Elephas maximus indicus: one gene and its partner. The protein of the gene in region 1 interacts with the protein of each later gene in a pairwise test. Links are inferred from orthologs where the notes say so. Each region holds a gene or a part of one and is shown on either strand. Other genes may lie near its edges.

The links. The genes of interacting proteins can lie anywhere in the genome.
Region 2: the proteins of RABAC1 (region 1) and SNX15 interact in binary tests that used the Homo sapiens proteins (3 or more experiments, as listed by UniProt). The two-hybrid records come from large-scale screens. The link is inferred for Elephas maximus indicus from reciprocal best matches to the Homo sapiens genes RABAC1 and SNX15.

The regions. Positions count from the first base shown.
Region 1 is NC_064829.1:108,959,931-108,970,272, reverse strand, and holds RABAC1 (prenylated Rab acceptor protein 1), read right to left. Parts: upstream 4,265-10,342; 5' UTR 4,139-4,264; coding exon 4,083-4,138; intron 3,788-4,082; coding exon 3,575-3,787; intron 3,241-3,574; coding exon 3,143-3,240; intron 1,784-3,142; coding exon 1,682-1,783; intron 1,602-1,681; coding exon 1,513-1,601; 3' UTR 1,351-1,512; downstream 1-1,350. UniProt on the Homo sapiens protein: General Rab protein regulator required for vesicle formation from the Golgi complex. May control vesicle docking and fusion by mediating the action of Rab GTPases to the SNARE complexes.
Region 2 is NC_064825.1:128,194,533-128,204,039, reverse strand, and holds the start of SNX15 (sorting nexin-15), read right to left. Parts: upstream 4,499-9,507; 5' UTR 4,378-4,498; coding exon 4,279-4,377; intron 412-4,278; coding exon 376-411; intron 152-375; coding exon 31-151; intron 1-30. Other genes in the region: ARL2 (ADP-ribosylation factor-like protein 2), read right to left, coding at 8,607-8,741. UniProt on the Homo sapiens protein: May be involved in several stages of intracellular trafficking. Overexpression of SNX15 disrupts the normal trafficking of proteins from the plasma membrane to recycling endosomes or the TGN.

The DNA of each region.
Region 1 (10,342 bases):
TTTTAAAATATCATCTTGACCCAGTTTTGAGGCCCTGGCTGGAGGCCAGTCAGTTCCCCTTCTGGAGCAGCTGATTTAGCCCATGCCCCAACCACTCCCCCTTAAGGATCTCTTACACTCCTAGACCACTACGCCCCTGTCCTAATGGCCCTGGGACCAGGTACCAGCCAGGGACAACACTTCAAATGAGCCAATCCACAGGGAGCCCTCAGAACCTAGATAATGCCATCTCGCTTGGTATACTTAAGCCACCTCCTACATCCCCAGCTTGCTGTCAGCCTGTCCCCAAATTCAACTCTCTGTGGGGCCCTACGTGGTAGCCTCTTCTGTTTAGGGCTGTACGTTACAAAGAGCTCTCCCTTTCACCTCCCCAAGTGTCTTTGTGTTGTGTCCCACCATCAAAGATACCTGTGACTGTACCTAGTATGACATGATTACAGAACACCAGGCTATGTGATCTGGCCCCTCTACCTCACTCCCACTCTTTATCTTACTCATCAGCTCCGGTCGTGGCCTCCCGGCCTTTGACCTATCTCCTGACCTTTGCACCTGCTGCTTCCTCTGCCCAGAAAGCTCTTCTTCCAAAGGACCCTATAGCTGCTTCTTGCCTCGATTCAGGTCTTTGCTCAGTGTCTCTCAGGGAGGCCTTTTCTGGCCACCTCCTTAAACCTGCAGCCCATCTCCAGTACTTTCTCTGTGCTGAAAAGTTATGTGGCAGGCCTGCTTGCAAGGCTGGCTCTTGGCTGGCATCTGGGAACAGGATTTCAGGGGTGGGGTTCCCACTGTTGCCCGATAAGAGTGGCTCACTGTGTCTAAACTGTGCAAATTGTATGGTTTATGCTGAACACCTGCTTTCCTTCAGGGAGTCTCGAGTATTAGTACCTGGTAGGCAGAGTGCCTATGTGGCCAACCCCCAATGAATTCCTGGGTTGAGTCTCTAATGAGCTTCCCTGGTAGACAACATTTCACACTTGTTGTCACAATTCTCTGCGGGAGGAGCAAAACGTGTCTCGTGTGACTCCAGGGAGAAGACTCTGGAAGCTTGTGCCTGGTCTCCTCTGGTGATTGCGGTGTGTGCTTTCACTGCAATGCATCTTAGTACAGCTGTAAGCCACATCGCGGGAAGTCTTCCCAGACAATCATCGAACCTGGGGGTGGCCACGGGGACCCCCTACGCTCTCCTTTCCCAATGTGTTCTTCCTCCTCAGCACCTGTCACCATCTGACATCCTATATCTTGCTTGTACATCTTTCTATTGTCTCCCCCACACCCTGAGCCCTGTCTGTCTTGGATCCTCAGTATGCCCAGCGTTACTCTGTACAGACCCACAGAAGACACTGGGACAATGTCTGCAGGACAACAACTGTAACAGCTTTATTTCCAAAGCTGGGAGGCCTCCCTGGGCTTGTGATGTGGGAGGGAGCTTTGTCCCCAGCAGGAGAGCCTTGCAGGATGGGGGTGAACCGGGGCAGAGCGGCAGGCCTGGGAGGCCCGCAGGTTCTTGAGGCCACTTCACACAGGCTCCATCTGCAGCTCTTCCCCATCCACTGCCTCGATCTGGTGGAAGGCGGCATGGGAGCCGATGACCACGAGGGTGGCTCCTGCAGGAAACGGGCAGCTCAGGGCCACGCTTCCTCACCTGGCCTGCACTGCCCACCCGCCACCCAGACCCTGTACTCACCCAGAACCCAGAAGACAGCCGAGCCTGCACCAGCCAGCCAGAAGAAAGGGAAGGAGACGCCTCCAGCCAGAGCGTACTGATGGGCTGGGCTCACCTCTCGGCCTGGGGGACAGACGCATTGGGCAGCTTTTCCAACACTCCATGCCCTCTCTCAGAGTACCCCCCCCACCACGCAACTGGTATCACAAGCTCCACGACCCTCAAGATCAAATCTAAACTCAAACCAAGCCCCTCTGAGCCCTGGCCCCAACTTCTTTCTCCCAGGTCCCCACTGTCTTCCAGAACACAGCACTCTCCTCAGGCCCCTGCCCTTCAACCCCGCTTCTGCTGCTCCAGACTAGGCCTCTGCTACTCCAGCCTGCATTCATGTAGACCAGGGGTCTCCAAGTGGTGGCCCACAGACCAAGTCTGACCAGCAGATGTGTGTTGTTTTTTTTTTTGAGTTTGCACAGTGTTTCACAAGAATTTGATTTGTGGCTGGCAAGTGAACTGAATGGTTTCCCAGAAAAACAGACTTCTGGCTTCTCATGGAAGACTGGAAGGTTGGGTCACACTGGCCTGCATTCTCTGGTGACACCAGTCAGCTGAAGCCAAGTTGTAGCTCTGTCTTAGATGCACCCTGGGTTGCCCAGCATGTCCCTCCCCCAGTCCACTTTTGTCAGGTATGTGACTTGTAGGCTTCTGAAAGAATTTCAATTGGAGCCCCATGAACAACTTTGTCTTAGAGCTTTCTGATTGTCTGATCCCAACTCCCCTCTGGCTCCACTCCAAACTTTGAGCTTCCCCTGGGTGGGGACCCAGGCCCCCCTTGTCATCCCAAAGGTGCATGGTACCAGGCTGGGACCACACGAGGTATTCTACAAAAGCCACAGGCCTCAGTTTCCCTCTCTCAGAAATCCTAACTTCCAGCTTCCACCGCAGGAAGGAGGAAAGCGAAGGGCGCAAGATCTAGGCCATGTACGGCTGCCACCTTGTGGCCAATGTGGGTACCTGCAGTTGATGCTTTCCAGCAGACAGGCTAGAGGAGGGTGTAGGGAGGGGAGATTTCAGGGACAGGAGAAGCCAGGTGGAGAATGAGTTCTGGGGTATCTCATTTTGCAGTTTAGGGGGCTGAGATGGGTGGGAGCATCTGGGATGTCCGGGATCTTAAGCCATCAGGCTTGAGGGACATAGTATAGTGGAAACCCTGGTGGCGTAGAGTTCCACTGCTAACCAAAATGTCAGCAGTCGGAATCCACCAGGCCCTCCTTGGAAACCCTATGGGGAGGTTCTGCTCAGTCCTGTAGGGTCGCTCTGAGTTGGAAAAGACCAGAACAGGTTTTTTTTTTTTTTTTTTTAAGTATAGATCTAGGCCCCGGGCGGACTTAGGTTCAGAAAGGCTTGGATTTGGGGGTCTGATGCTCAAGTTCCAAGAGACAGGACTAGAGGGCCGGGGCTCCGTCTAGGCAGGGGGCTTCTCACCAAAGAGCACGAGCTTGGACTGCAACGTGCGCTGATAGAGGATGTAACAGGCACCAAAGAAGACGGCCAGAGCTACCAACAGCATGGGGGATGTCACCCTGGAGAGAAGTGCGGGGAGACAGGGGTCAGGCAGCTGGGCTTGTCCAGCCAGGGGCCCTGATCCTTCTACACTGGGAGATGGCAGAATGGTTCCTTGACGGTACGCAAAGACGGGTCACCTCTGGTCACACTGTCCTGGCCAAGCCGATAAGGAAGTAGGGGTCTGGGCCTCTGGGAATAAGGTCTGGCCGGGCTGCCCCACAGAGGTGGGGCGTGGCCAGTGGGGGGCGGGAGGCGGCCAGAGAAGAGCGGGATCGACCAAGCAGGGCCACCTGGAGGGGCGATGCCGGGCCCGCGAGGCAAGGGCGGCGTCCCGTCCCCGGAGGCACTCACACGCAGTACAGGATGAGGCCCAGGAACACGAACACGTAGTTGCTCTGGTAGTGCTCCACATTGCGAACGAGGCGCTGGCACAGCTCGCCCAGGTTGCGGGGCCGCGAGAAGCGCCGCTGATCTACGAAGGGGCCCCAGGGCCGGATGGTCGCGCGGCGCCGCTCCAGCCACTCACGGCCCGCGCCGGATGGAATCAGCTTCGGCAGCAGGGTCCTGGCGGGCAGGGCTGGGTCAGCGGTGTACGGGGATGGCCGGGAGCCCCGAAGGAGGAGGCTGAGAGGGCGGGACTCCCGGGTTCTGGGCGGGGGGGCTCGGGAGGGGGCCCAAATCCCGGACCCCAAAGGAGGCCCAAACTCCAGAGTCCTAGAAAAGAAGGGGACCCGGGGTCTAGGCTCCCGTGTCTGAGAGAAGGAGGGCTGGGACCTGGACTCCTGGGACCCGAGGGAGGGGGAAGTTGGGGACCCTCACTCCTGAGTCCTGGGTTAGGGGGCTAAACCGGATCGCTCACGTGGCGCTCAGCCCTTCTCCCTGAGCATCCTTCTGCTGGTCCTTCTCCGCCGCCATGTCTGCGCGGTTAGGGGTAGAACCGCTGTAACGAGCTCCGGGCCCGGTAGACGCTGTCCGCCCGTCCCGAGCCCGGCCTCACCCAGCGGAGCGGACGTGGCGAGGCTCCGGAGCCGCGGGGGGCAGGAGTTCTGTCGCTAAGCATCGTGGGAGTTGTAGTCCTGATCGTGTCTGGTGCGATGGACGCCATGATGGCAGGGTCACTCGCAAAGCACCTTGGGAAATGTAGTCCAAATACGGCGACGGCGGGTGTCCTTCGAGCGTTCCGGAAGTTCTATGTTCAGAAGCTAGGCGTGTGGGAGTCAGGGTCGGGAAACAGGCTACTGGAAGTGGGCGTTATAGGAGCTCTAATGGTAGAAGCAGGTGTCCTGTACTCCCCCGCGGACAGTGCAATGACACTGTATAACGCGGTCATTCTCAGACTCTAAACCCACCCCCCCCCCCAAAATCAAACCCGTTGCTGCGAGTGATTCCAACTCAAAGTGACTCTATATGACAGGGTAGAACTGCCCAATCAGGCTACCAAGGAGCTACTGGTCGAACTGCCCACCTTTTGGTTGGCAGCCGAGCTCTAAAACACTATGCCGCCAGGGCGGGGTTGATTCCAACTCACAGCGAACCTCTACGGCAGAGTATAACTGCCCCTAGGGTTTCCAAGGGGCGGCTGGTGGATTCGAACTGCTGATCTTTTGGTTAGCAGCCAACCTCTTAACCACTTCTCCAAGTTGTTGTTAGGTGCCGTCCAGTCCGTTTCGACTCATAGCGACCCCTATGTACAACAGAACCGAACACTGCCTGGTCCTGCGCCATTTTCACAATCCTTCTTATGGTTGAGCCCATTTTTGCAGCCACTGTGTCAATCCATCTCATTGAGGGTCCTCCTCTTTTTCGATGACCCTGTACTTACCCAAACATGATGTCCTTCTCCGGGAACTGATCCCTCCTGATAACATGTCCAAAGTATGTGAGACGCAGTCTCGGCATCCTTGCTTCCAAGGAGCATTCTGGTTGTGCCTCTTCCAAGACAGATTTTTTTTTTTTTAGCAGTCCATTATATACTCAGTATTCTCCGCCAACATCACAATTCAAAGGTGTCAATTCTTCAGTCTTCCTTATTCATTGTCCAGCTTTTGAATGCATATAAGGTAGTTGAAACACCATGGCTTGGGTCAGGCGCACCTTAGTCTTCAAGGTGACATCTCTGCTTTTCAACACTTTAAAGAGGTCTTTTGGGGCAGATTTGCCCAATGCAATGCATTTTTTTTGATTGTTCAACAACTGCTGCTTCTATGGGTGTTGATCGTGGATCCAAATAAAATAAAATCCTTGACAACTTCAATCTTTTCTCCATTTATCATGATGTTGCTTATTGGTCCAACAGTGAGGATTTTTGTTTCCTTTATGTTAAAGTGTAATCCATAATGAAGGCTGTGGTCTTTGATCTTCATCAATAAGTGCTTCAAGTCCTCTTCACTTTCAGCAAGTAAGGTTGTGTCGTCTGCTTAGTGCAGGTTGTTAATGAGTCTTCCTCCAATATTGATGCCCCTTTCTTCTTCTTGTAGTCCAGCTTCTTGAATTATTTGCTCAGCATACAGATTGAATAGTATGGTGAAAGGATACAACCCTGACACACACATTTCCTTACCTTAAACCAGGCAGTATTCCCCTGTTCTGGTTTGAACTGCCTCTTGATCTATGTCCAGGTTCCTCATGAGCACAATTAAGTGTTCTGGAATTCCCATTCTTCTCAATGTTATCCGTAATTTGTTATGGTCCACAGAGTTGAATACCTTTGCGTAGTCAATAAAACACAGGTAAACATCTTTCTGGTATTCTCTGCCTTCAGCCAGGATCCGTCTGACATTAGTAATCCCTTGTTCTACATCCTCTTCTGAATCCCACTTGAATTTCTGGCTTTCTTGTCCATATCCTGCGGCAGCCACTTTTTTTTTTATTTTTATTTTTTATTGTGCTTTAAGTGAAAGTTTACAAATCAAGTCAGTCTCTCACAGATAAAGTTATATACACCGTACTACATACTCCCATTGAGTCAGCCCACTCCCTCCTTCCAGTCTCTCCTTTCATGACCGTTTTGCCAGTTTCTAACCCCCTCTACCCTCCTATCTCCCCTCCAGACAGGAGATGCCAACATAGTCTCAAGTGTCCCCCTGATACAAGTAGCTCACTCCTCATCAGCATCTCTCTCCAACCCATTGTCGAGACCATTCCATGTCTGATGAGCTGTCTTTGGGAATGGTTACTGTCCTGGGCCAACAGAAGGTTTGGGGACCATGACTGCCGGGATTCCTCTAGTCTCAGTCAGACCATCAAGTCTGGTCTTTTTATGAGAATTTGGGGTCTGCATCCCACTGACCTCCTGCTCTCTCAGGGGTTCTCTGTTGTGCTCCCTGTCAGGGCAGTCATCGGTTGTGGCCGGGCACCATCTAGTTCTTCTGGTCTCAGGATGATGTAAGTCTCTAGTTCATGTGGCCCTTTCTGTCTCTTGGGGTCGTAATGATCTTGTGACCTTGGTGTTCTTCATTCTCCTTTGATCCAGGTGGGTTGAGACCAATTGATGCATCTTAGATGGCCGCTTGTTAGTATTTAAGACCCCAGACACCACAGTTCAAAGTGGGATGCAGAATGTTTTCTTAATAGAATTTATTTTGCCAATTGACTTACATGTCTCCTGAAGCCATAGTCCCCAAACCCCCACCCTTGCTCTGCTGACCTTCAAAGCATTCAGTTTATCCCGGAAACTTCTTTGCTTTTGGTCCAGTCCAGTTGAGCTGACCTTCCCTGTATTGAGTGTTGTCCTTCCCTTTACCTAAAGTAGTTCTTATCTACTATCTAATCAGTAAATAACCCTCTCCCACCCTCCCTCCCTCCCCCATCTCCTAACCACAAAAGAATGTGTTCTTCTCAGTTTAAACTATTTCTCAAGATCTTATACAATATTTGTCCTTTTGCATCTGACTAATTTCACTCAGCATAATGCCTTCCAGGTTCCTCCATGTTATGAAATGTTTCGCAGATTCATCACTGTTCTTTATCGATGCGTAGTATTTCATTGAGTCAGAATCGACTCGATGGCAGTGGGTTTGGCTAGTATTCCATTGTGTGAATATACCATAATTTATTTATCCATTCATCCGTTGATGGACACCTTGGTTGCTTCCAGCTTTTTGCTATTGTAAACAGTGCTGCAGTAAACATGGGTGTGCATATATCTGTTCGTGTAAAGGCTCTTATTTCTCTAGGGTATATTCCGAGGAGTGGGATTTCTGGGTTGTGTGGTAGTTCTATTTCTAACTTTTTAAGAAAACGCCAGATAGATTTCCAAAGTGGTTGTACCATTTTACATTCCCACCAGCAGTGTATAAGAGTTCCCATCTCTCCGCAGCCTCTCCAACATTTATTATTTTGTGTTTTTTGGATTAATGCCAGCCTTATTGGAGTGAGATGGAATCTCATCATAGTTTTAATTTGCATTTCTCTAATGGCTAATGATCGAGAGCATTTTCTCATGTATCTGTTAGCTGCCTGAATATCTTCTTTAGTGAAGTGCGTGTTCATATCCTTTGCCCACTTTTTGATTGGGTTGTTTGTCTTTTTTTTTTTTTTTTATTAACTTTTATTGAGCTTCAAGTGAACATTTACAAATCAAGTCAGACTGTCACATATAAGTTTATATACATCTTACTCCGTACTCCCACTTGCTCTCCCCCAATGAGTCAGCCCCTCCAGTCTCTCCTTTCGTGACAATTTTGCCAGCTTCCAACTCTCTCTATCCTCCCCTCCCCGCTGCAGACAGGAGATGCCAACAGAGTCTCAAGTGTCCACCTGATATAATTAGCTCACTCTTCATCAGCATCTCTCTCCTACCCACTGTCCAGTCCCTTTCATGCCTGATGAGTTGTGTTTGGGAATGGTTACTGTCCTGGGCCAACAGAAGGTTTGGGGACCATGACTGCCAGGATTCCTCTAGTCTCAGTCAGACCATTAAGTATGGTCTTTTTGTAAGAATTTGGGGTCTGCATCCCACTGATCTCCTGCTCCCTCAGGGGTTCTCTGTTGTGCTCCCTGTCAGGGCAGTCATCGATTGTGGCCGGGCACCAACTAGTTCTTCTGGTCTCAGGATGATGTAGGTCTCTGGTTCATGTGGCCCTTTCTGTCTCTTGGGCTCTTAGTTATCATGTGACCTTGGTGTTCTTCACTCTCCTTTGATCTAGGTGGGTTGAGACCAATTGATGCATCTTAGATGGCCGCTTGTTAGCATTTAAGACCCCAGACACCACATTTCAAAGTGGGATGCAGAATGTTTTCATAATAGAATTATTTTGCCAATTGACTTAGAAGTCCCCTCAAACCATGGTCCCCAAACCCCTGCCCTTGCTCCACTGACCTTCAAAGCATTCAGTTTATCCCGGAAACTTCTTTGCTTTGGGTCCAGTCCAGTTGAGCTGACCTTCCCTGTATTGAGTATTGTCCTTCCCTTCACCTGAAGCAGTTCTTATCTACTAATTAATCAGTAAAAAACCCTCTCCCACCCTCCCTCCCTCCCTCCCCGCCTCATAACCACAAAAGTATGTGTTCTTCTCAGTTTATACTATTTCTCAAGATCTTAGAATAGTGGTCTTATACAATATTTGTCCTTTTGCCTCTGACTAATTTCGCTCAGCATAATGCCTTCCAGGTTCCTCCATGTTATGAAATGTTTCACAGATTCATCACTGTTCTTTATCGATGCATAGTATTCCATTGTGTGAATATACCACAATTTATTTAAACATTCATCCATTGATGGACACCTTGGTTGCTTCCAGCTTTTTGCTGTTGTAAACAGAGCTGCAATAAACATGGGTGTGCATATATCTGTTTGTGTGAAGGCTCTTATTTCTCTAGGGTATATTCCGAGGAGTGGGATTTCTGGGTTGTATGATAGTTCTATTTCTAACTTTTTAAGAAAACGCCAGATAGATTTCCAAAGTGGTTGTACCATTTTACATTCTCACCAGCAGTGTATAAGAGTTCCCATCTCTCCGCAGCCTCTCCAACATTTATTATTTTGTGTTTTTTGGATTAATGCCAGCCTTGTTGGAGTGAGATGGAATCTCATTGTAGTTTTAATTTGCATTTCTCTAATGGCTAATGATTGAGAGCATTTTCTCATGTATCTGTTAGCTGCCTGAATATCTTCTTTAGTGAAGTGTGTGTTCATATCGTTTGCCCATTTCTTGATTGGGTTGTCTTTTTGTGGTTGAGTTTTGACAGAATCATATAGATTTTAGAGATCAGGCGCTGGTTGGAGATGTCATAGCTGAAAATTCTTTCCCAGTCTGTAGGTGGTCTTTTTACTCTTTTGGTGAAGTCTTTAGATGAGCATAGGTGTTTGATTTTTAGGAGCTCCCAGTTATCTGGTTTCTCTTCGTCATTTTTCGTAATGTTTTGTATTCTGTTTATGCCTTGTATTAGTGCTCCTAACGTTGTCCCTATTTTTTCTTCCATGATCTTTATCGTTTTAGTCTTTATGTTTAGGTCTTTGATCCACTTGGAGTTAGTTTTTGTGCATGGTGTGAGGTATGGGTCCTGTTTCATTTTTTTGCAAATGGATATCCTGTTATGCCAGCAACATTTGTTAAAAAGACTATCTTTTCCCCATTTAACTGTCACTGGGCCTTTGTCAAATATTGGCTGCTCATATGTGGATGGATTTATATCTGGGTTCTCAATTCTGTTCCGTTGGTCTATGTGCCTGTTGTTGTACCAGTACCAGGCTGTTTTGACTACTGTGGCTGTATAATAGGTTCTAAAATCAGGTAGAGTGAGGCCTCCCACTTTCTTCTTCTTTTTCAGTAATGCTTTACTTACCTGAGGCTTCTTTCCCTTCCATATGAAGTTGGTGATTTGTTTCTCCATCACATTAAAAAATGTCGTTGGAATTTGGATCGGAAGTGGATTGTACATATAGATGGCTTTTGGTAGAATAGACATTTTTGCTATGTTAAGTCTTCCTATCCATGAGCAAGGTATGTTTTTCCACTTACGTAGGTCCCTTTTAGTTTCTTGCACTAGTACTTTGTAGTTTTCTTTGATAGGTCTTTTACATCTTTGGTAAGATTTATTCCTAAGTATTTTATCTTCTTGGGGGCTACTGTGAATGGTATTGATTTGGTTATTTCCTCTTCGATGTTCTTTTTGTTG
Region 2 (9,507 bases), on another chromosome or scaffold:
TTGGCCTGAGTGCCCAAGCCCAATACTCACCAAACACCTGGGCGCGGGGGAAAGAGGGGAACTCCTCAAGGCGGCGGAAGAGGTTTCGGTGGGTGTAGGCTAGGTCTCCGTGTAGCTTGCGGAAGTCGCTGTACCGCTTCCAGACCACCACCTGAGTGGGATGGGAGGCATGGCCTGGACCAGCAAGGTGGAAGCCACCTCCCCGCCTCTGCTGTCTGCCAGCCTGATCCCAGGGTATGAGGACTAGGGCACTGTGCCCCCTCCTCCCAGGGCAGAGAGGAAGGAGGGCTGGGTCTCCTCCAGAATTACCAACTGCTACGTGACTGGTTCAGAGCTGCAGGTAAGGAAGGGCCCCCTTCCTCCCAGGAACCTCACCTCTTTGATGTCCTCTGGGTCCTTCTTTGAGATGAACTGGGGAAGAAAAGCAAGAACTAGGTGAGACCAGAGACTGACCTCGGACACCTCAAGACCCTGTGAAAGCTGAGGATGCCTGACACCTCCTAGCTTCCCTCTAAGGGGCAATACCCTTTGCCCACTGGTATCACAGTGCCTTGGCTTCAACGCTTTGAGTGTACTTTGGCTACATTTCCACCAGGCACTTCAGTTTCTTCTTCTGTCACATGGTGGGGTGGTGTGGGGGGCGGGGGGAGGTCTCTAAAGGCCTGTCCAGACTGCTCCATCCAAAGCTAGCTCCTGGGAACTTTTGTCCCAGTTCTTTCAAAGGGCAGGTCCCTAGGTCTCCTTCGGAAACCAAAGAACCCCAAATTCTCTAAAGAATGAAGCTCTGTCAGGAGCCACTACTTCCTTAAAGAAGGAAGTTCTGTGCCCAAATACTGTGCACACAGAAGGACCTGTTACTGGGGTTGGTGACTCCTGGAGGGGTAGGGCCTGGGGTAGAAAGAAGACTTGGCTTTCATTATGTTGTGTTCATAATAATTGAAAAATAATGTTGTACAGCTTTGAGCACTTCGCAGTTTCCAAAACATTTTCTGTTCATTATCCTACAACCCAGTGAGGCAGACGTGATTGTCATGCTCAGAGAAAAAAGGAGGAGAAGGAGGTTCTGAGAGGGGACATGAACTGCACAAGACCACATACCAAGTAAGGAGGTTAATCCTACTTGCCAGGTTTAAAACTTTGGCCTTTGCTTTTTACAGCAGAGACCTGTCTAAGATATTTTGGGTAAAAGAAACCATATTTAAAGATCACTGAAGAACCTATACTTAACAAAAGGTTCATCCATAATATAGAAAGAACTCCTATAAATCAATGTTAAAAATACAAACGACCCAACTTTTAAAAATGTGTAAAATACTTGAACAGGCATCTACCACAAAAGAAGATGTTTGAATCATCTATAGAATTATGAAATATATTCAACGCCATTAGTCATCGAGAAATGCAAATATCCCAATGAGATACTACAATCCTACCAATAATGCGTAAAATTAAAGATATTGATAATATCAAGTGTTGATGAGAATGGGGGCATAAAAAGGCAAAACCACTTTGGAAGACTGGCAATTTCTAATAAAGCTATACATATGTCTGTACCATTGTTGTTGTTGTTGTTGTTGTTAGGTGCTGTCAAGTCGGTTCCGACTCATAGCAACCCTATGCACAAAAGAACTAAAAACTGCCTGATCCTGCGCCATCCTTACAATCATTGTTATGCTTGAGCCTATCCTATGACCCAGTAACCCCACTCCTAGGTATATACCAAGAAGAAATGTGCGTATGTTCACAAAAAGACTTGTATACGAATGTTCATACAACTTTGTTGTTGTTGTCAGGTGCTGTCGAGTTGGTTCCGACTCATAGCAACCCCATGCACAACAGAACGAAACACTGCCCGGTCCTGCGCCATCCTTAAATCGTTGTTATGCTTGAGCCCATTGTTGCAGCCACTGTGTCAATCCATCTCGTTGAGGGTCTTCCTCTTTTCCGCTGACCCTGTACTTTGCCAAGCATGATATCCTTCTCCAGAGGCTCGTCCCTCCTGACAACATCTCCAAAGTACGTAAGACGCAGTCTCGCCATCCTTGCTTCTAAGGAGCATTCTGGTTGTACTTCTTCCAAGACAGATTTGTTTGTTTTTCTGGCAGTCCACGGTATATTCAATATTCTTCACCAACACCACAATTCAAAGGCATCAATTCTTCTTTGGTCTTCCTTATTCATTGTCCAGCTTTCACATACATATGATGCGATTGAAAATACCATGGCTTGGGTCAGGTGCACCTTAGTCTTCCACGTGACATCTTTGCTTTTCAACACTTTGAAGAGGTCCTTTGCAGCAGATTTACCCAATGCAAAGCATCTTTTGATTTCTTGTCTGCTGCTTCCACGGCTGTTGATTGTGGATCCAAGTAAAATGAAATCCTTGACAACTTCAATCTTTTCTTATTTCATAAGAAATAAAAACATTTTAGAAGCAACCCAAATGTCCAACAACAGAAGAATGAATTAAGAAATGGTAGAATATTCACACAATGGAATACTATGCAGCAATAAAAAAGAACAAACTATTTATACATGCAACAACATGGACAAATTCCAAAAACATTGTATTGAGTGAAAAAAGCCAGACACAAAAGAGTATTTTCAGTATCAGATTCAAAGACAAAACCAAACCCAGTGCCGTTGAGTCGATTCCAACTCACAGGACCCTATAGGACAGAGTAGAACTGCCCTATAGGGTTTCCAAAGAGTGGCCGGTGGATTCCAACTGCCAACTTTTTGGTTGGCAGCCAAAGGCTTAACCACTGCACCACTAGGGCCCCTATATGAGGTTCAAGAACATGCAAAACTAATCTATGGTAACAGAAGTCAGAATGGTGGGTACCTCCGTGGCAAGGGGGCTACTGACTGCAAAGGGGCAAAGAAAGTTTCTGGGGTGATGGAAACATTCTATATCTTGATCAGAGTGGTATCTGCAGAGATGTATACATATGTAAAAATTTATTGAGTTGTACATTTAAGATTTGTGCATATTACTATCTGTAAATTACATCTTAATTTAAAAAGTTTTAAAAGTGAAACGACAACAAAAATACAAAACCGAAAGACCATTGAGGAATACCAGCAGGTGAAAAATGCAAGACGCAGAATGACATTGTGTGCAAATAATAATAAAAAGTGGATACATATATTTGTTTGTAAATGTAAAGTTCATCTGCAAGGATAAATAAGCAGCTCCAACGATGGTTCCTTCCATGAGGAGGAAGGGTGATGAGAAAAAAAAAGGGAGGGTAAATTATTTATCTTTAAAAATTATAAAAATATATCAAACTAACACGTTACTTGGTTAAAAAAAAAAAAAAATCCAACAGAAATGCTTATAGGAAAAGGTTATAGCTCCTGGCTACAGCCTTCCCACCTGATCTCCATTATTTGTATTTTTAAGCATGGGAAAACAGTATAAACGATTTGGGGAAAGCACACTTTAAATATGTAGGACTCTGCGCTGGAATTACTTGGGAAGTGTCTTTGTTTTTGGTCCACTTTAATAGTTACTCATGGGCCAGTTTTAACAGTCACCTGGTTCAAAACTCTGAAATGTACAAAAAATATACAATGCAGTCTTTCCCAACCCTACCCCCAGCCACCTAGTTCCTCTCCCCGGAGGCCCGCATTGTTACCAGTTCCTTGTATAACATTCTAGAGATTTTGTGATACTGTTCCTATTTTAAATTCTTTTCATGATTTCTTCCACGCCTCTATGTAACATCTTATCATGTTATTACTGCTTCAGATATCAACTTCAGTCTTTACCTATTGGCATCCCGCTATGACTGCTGAAGGCTGTTAAGTCTTTTTGAACTGTACAGTTTTTTAAACCACTGATAAGTTAATTCTTTTATTAGAATAAAAATACGTAAACTCTTCAGAAGATTTTTATGTAAATAACAAACAAACCAATAAACAAAACCCAAACCAAGAGGCTGGAGAACTATCTAGTCTTTGGGCTAAGCCAGAGTTTTCACGCTAATTTTGAGAAATTTACAGCCTGATACCAACACACCACATGGGCGTGGGTACCCACACCTCGCGGGTCCTGAAATACCGTCCACGCCCTTTTAAAAGTGGCAGAGTCCTACAACGGCCCCGCCCCCTCACGGTTAAGGAGTAAAGGAAGGCCCTTCCGCAGACTCCCCTTAAAGGGGAAATTCACTTCGGTCGACCAAAATGGGCGCTTCCTTCAGCGTCTTGCCTTAAGGTACAAAACAGCCCACCTCTTGTTAAAAAGGTAAAGGTCTCCGCTGGGCCCCACCTCACCTGCGCGGTTACTTTGTACTCGGTGTAGCCCTTGGGGTGGGTCCGGGGGTCGGAGACCGTGTAGTGCCGCACGAAGTCGTCCTTCGGCTGGCGGGACATGGCAGCAAAACCTGAGCGGAGCTGACCGCCGTCCTCCGCCTCCTCCACGCTGCCCCCTCCCCTCCGGGCCTGCCTCCGCCAGCCGCCGCCTGGCCCGGGCCTGCGCCCTTCATCCTCAGGCCCAGGGAGCTGGTTGCAAGTGACAGCGCTGCTCTCTCCCGGGCGCAGGGCCAAGGGAGCGTCAGAAAAGTTCCTGGTCGTTGGTAAAGTGTAAACATAGTAATTTGAGAGTAGGGATTGGGGAGGTTCTGATCGCTCATCCTATCTGAGCGTAGGCCCTCATCATGGACCTCCAAACGACGTCTGCCCAGCTTCCCAGTTCTCGTCGTTCCTCCATTCGTCCAACTAACCTGTATTGCGTCCAACAGTGTTCACCACCAAACCAAACCCTGCCTTCGAGTCGATTCCAAATCATAGCGACCCTATAGGACAGAGTAGAACTGCCCCATAGGGCTTCCAAGGAGCGGCTGCTGGATTTGAGCTGCTGACTTTTTGGTCAGCAGCCGAGCTCTTAACCACTGTGCCAACAGGGCTCCCCAATGGTGTTAAACATAGTCAAATTATTTCCATGTTTCCATCTACCAACCCCCCCCCCCCAAAAAAAGAAAACTGTTGCCTTCCAGTGGATTCCCTTATGGTGACCCCATGCCTGTCAAAGGAGAACTGTGCTTCACAGTGTTTTCAGTGACTGATTTTTTGAAAGTGGATCGCCAGGCCTTTCTTCCAAGGTGCCTCTGGGTGGACTCCCAGACTTTCAACCTTGGGTTGGTAGCTAGACCAACCGTAACCATTTGCACCACCCACAGGGTTCCTCCACAGGATTCGCTAATTCACGTTTTCTGGAAGGGTGGGGAAGCAAAAACAACCCTGGAGAAGCAGGATGCCATCCTGGGCTCTGAAGTCACACCTTTTACTAGCTCTGTGAATTTCTCTTAACAGCTGGAGTCTCAGTTTCTCTTAATAGAATGAGGGTGCTCATGATAGAACATACTGTTGTGGACATGTCCTTTTGTCATTTGTTGGCCTGCCCAGCATTCCCCCGCCTCTTCCTGTGAGCACAGCAGCACCCAGTTTCTGTTTGCAGGGGCTTCTCTAGTATGTGTAGCTCTCCAGCCTTCTACCCCAGAACCCAATGGGGACAGCTCCTCCTTCCTTGCTCCAGGGGCCCCTCTGGGGGTGGGGACACTCTCTCCAGAGGCTTTGAATCTCGTGTGGGGGGCAGAGGGCACAGCTAGAACAATTTTGGCCACAGGTCTAGCTGCTCCACCTCTGGCGCGCTCTTTCCCAAGCCTGGCCATCTGACCTCCATTGGGATGCTGTGAATGCCTAGTATCTTTCCAAGAAATGTCCTTTCTGCTGATGGCAGCTGGAATCCGTGTGTGTGGCTGGCCATCAGGGCCCTGACTGATAAAAAATAGCACCACCCACCCAGTGGTTGTGAGGCTCAAATGTGATAGGGTGGGGCAAGTGCTCAAGAAACAGCCACACTTGTTACTGGAACTCAGGTGTGTGGGCCACTGGAAGACGGGTCTCCAGAAGGAAATGCTCCAGAATCAGATTCTTGGGAGCCCTGACATGGCAGGCCACCCAAAAGGTATTCAGGAGGAAGCTGTGACTCATCTGTCTTGCATAAAACACACACAGTACACACCAGGACTCCTTAGAAGACCTCGTTAGACATGCCTCCTGCTCTCCAAAGTTCTTGGGAGGAACAGGGGCTCCAGTCTCCCTGTCTGCCATCTCTCCCTCCCACTCTGCTCCCTGGCCCAGCCTCTCCCACATCCTCCCCTTTCCTTCTTGTCTCTCCCAGTCTTCTCCAAGCCCTCTCCTCTCTAGATCAATTTGGCCCCTGGCCTTCTCCAGGTCTCCAACTCCACCAATTCCATTGCCATGAGGAGCAACGGGAGCCATAGAAGTCCTCCTTAGAAGGCAGGGAAGATGGAAAAGCTGAAGGCTCACAGTGCAGGGGGCCTGCTTTTAGGCTCCTGCTGGGTATGCCACAGTGCATACTCTTCGGTGATGAGTATGCCTTTGACAGTTCACATTCCTGAGTGATGAGTGTACTCTTATTATTTTCTCTTTTGTCTCTAACCGTGCATAAGTCACTTTTTAAATCAATGCTGTTGCTGACGAAGGGTCCCCAGGGAGGCCTGAAAGCTGAGCTGACTCATGGTATCAGTGGACGGCCAAGTTTACTGTGGTTGGATGTGTCATGGACTGAATTGTGTTCCCCAAAAATATGTGTTGAATTCCTGGCCCTTGTACCCGTGGATGCGATCCTATTTGGAAACAGGGCTTTAGTTGGGTGGCCAACCAAGAACGATGTTGTCTTAGAACACATACAGACGACCCTTCCATGTACAGAATTAGAAACCCCTGCCGTGTGTTTTCTGTGCAAGATGGATACTATGGCATCAGTGGCCCCAGGCATTCCCTGGTTCCTTAATGTTCCTTGGCTTGTAGACGACCCTCACGTGCGTCTCTGCGTCTATTCTGATCTTCTCATGACTCAGAAATCCCTAGGTTTAAGATCTACCCTTTAGTGGTGGTATGACCTCATTAACACAGCAAAAGAAAAGGCCTATTTTCATCCTAACAGAACCCAGATTTGGGCATCTTAGTGCCAATTTGGGAGTAAATCTTGAATTACCTAAAGCAATCATGGTACTCAAATTCCTCTGGCCAGCCATTGGCTCAGGGTGGCTGTGACGTGAATTCTGGCTGATGAGGCAGTAGGGGAAGTCCAGGGAAAATCATGATTGTCTCTAGACATTGCTGGCTGAGGACCAGGAGCTGGAGACTGAGGCTACCAGGGAGGGCAGGGTCCCTGAGAACAAGCCAGCGATGCTGCGTAGGGCAGGGCTGAAACACAGAAAGAACCCGGGTCCTTGACGATGTCCTCGGGACCTTTCAGCTCATGAGTTTGTACATGTTCCTATCACTGAACCATTTGCATTGAGTTTGCTGTGACTTGTAGCTGAATACATTCCAACGGATACTAAATGTCAACCGTATGTCCTCACATATGTGCATACAGGTGTTTTGCAAACCGGGCTGGGCAGCAAGGGGCACAAGCAAGGGTCCAGGGCTCTTCCAGACTCTGGCAGACGCTGGCTTCCAGTGGTTCTCGGGGAGCCGCTTCTGAGCATATTCTACCTTCTCACTCCCGTGCCCAGTTAACCCTCAGACAAAGGCCACCTGCTCCCTCTGTCTCGCTGGACTGTGGGCCCTCAGGGGCTCTCTAAGAAGCTGGTGGACCAGAGGTATGGATTGAATACTATCCCCCCAAAATGTGTCAACTTGGCTAGGCCATGATTCCTAGTATTGTGACTGTCCACCACTTTGTCAATTTGGCTAGGCCATGATTCCTAGTATTGTGTGATTGTCCACCACTTTGTCATCTGACGTGATTTTCCTATGTACTGCAAATCCTACTTCTGTGACGTTAATTAGGAAGGATTAGAGGCAGTTTGGAAACCCCGGTGGCATAATGGTTAAGAGGCAGTTATATTAACGACCCAAGACTCAATCTACAGGATTAGTTTGTGTATTGAGTCCATCTCTTTTGAGATATAAGAGAGAGAGAAGTGAGCAGAGAGACAAGGGGGCCTCATACCATCAAGAAATAAGAGCCAGGAGAATAGCACAACCTCTGAACCCGGGGTCCCTGCGCTGAGAAGCTCCTCAACCAGGGAAAGGTTGATGACAAGGACCTTCCTCTAGAGCCCACAGAGACAGAAAGCCTTCCCCTGGAGCTGGCACCCTGAATTTGGACTTTTAGCTTCCTAGAGTGTGAGAGAATAAATTCCTCTTTGTTAAAACCATCCTCTTGTGGTGTTTCTGTTATAGCAGCACTAGACTAAGACAACCAACAGATGACTCAGCCAGGAGCAAGGAGTGATTTATTCTCACAGCGGAGCAAAGACGAGGCCCATAGCCTCGGTAGCAGCAGAGGCTGTTTCCTCCCAGGTCCAGTGTCCCCTTCTTAGTGTGGCAGCCCCAGGGGAGCCAGGTGGGGAGTGGGGGTAGCAGCCAGGGCAGCAGGCCTCCTATCACGGGAGCCGACTGGCCCAGGAGCAGCAGTGGGCAGCAGCAGCAGCAGCAGGATGTGGAGGGGGCGGGGAGTGTTAGCCCAGCTGGCTGACTCCCACCCCCTACGGATGGTGTATGGCCGGGGCTGGGGTGCAGGAAGGGAGGGTCTGGACTGGGAGGTGGGCGTCCAGGGCGGCTCAGTCGGCTGTGAAGATGCGGCTGGAAATGTCATCCAGGAGCCAGTCAATGCCCAGCAGCAGGTTCTCCCCAGTGAAGGCGCTGCAGCCCTGGATGCACCAGTGGTGGCTGCGAATGGAGTCCAGTTCCAGGGCCTGGGAAGGCGGAAGGGCGGGAGGGCTAGGTGACCACAGGCCCCGCCTACCTGCAACCCCAGGGACATCTGTGTCTCCCTCAAAGCCCTGCTCAAGGCAGCCTCCCCTGGCCTTGGGAGGTCCGTCAGCCCCCTTGGGACGCCTGGGCTCTCTGTACACCGCCACGCCAGCACTGCCCCTTAGTAATGGGACAGCAACTGAGGCTCCTGAGCCTCCACTAGGGTCCAGGGACTGCACTAGGGCCCTACAAATGTCCTCTCATCTACTCCTCCCAAGGTTCCAGGAGATAGGGATTGTGTTGGCCACTTTATAGAGGAGGAAACCCAGGCTCAGAGAGATTAAGCAACATGCCTAAAGTCACACAGCTTGTCAGGGGCAGAACCAAGATTCTAATCCCTTCTTTGTCATTCTGGTGTTCAAGAGCTAGACTAACAGTTACAATACAGGCTCTGGGGCCAGATAAGCCTGGGTTTGAATCCCGGCTTTTCTACTTGCTAGCTGTGTGACCTTGGACAAGTTCCTAGTCCCTCTGAGCCTGTTCCCCCGTCTGTAAAATGATAATAGTAGTTCCTTCCTCAGGAGGTTGTTGTGAGGATTAAATGAGTGAAGGCCTGCAAAGAGCCCAGCACAGAGAGAACACTCAGTACAGGCTAGCTCCTCTTAGCTCTTGGAATAATCGACTTGCAGGTCTGCCTCCCCCAGGCTGGGGCACCACTGTTGTTAATGTGCCGCTGAGTTGATTCTGACTCACAGCGATCATAGGGTT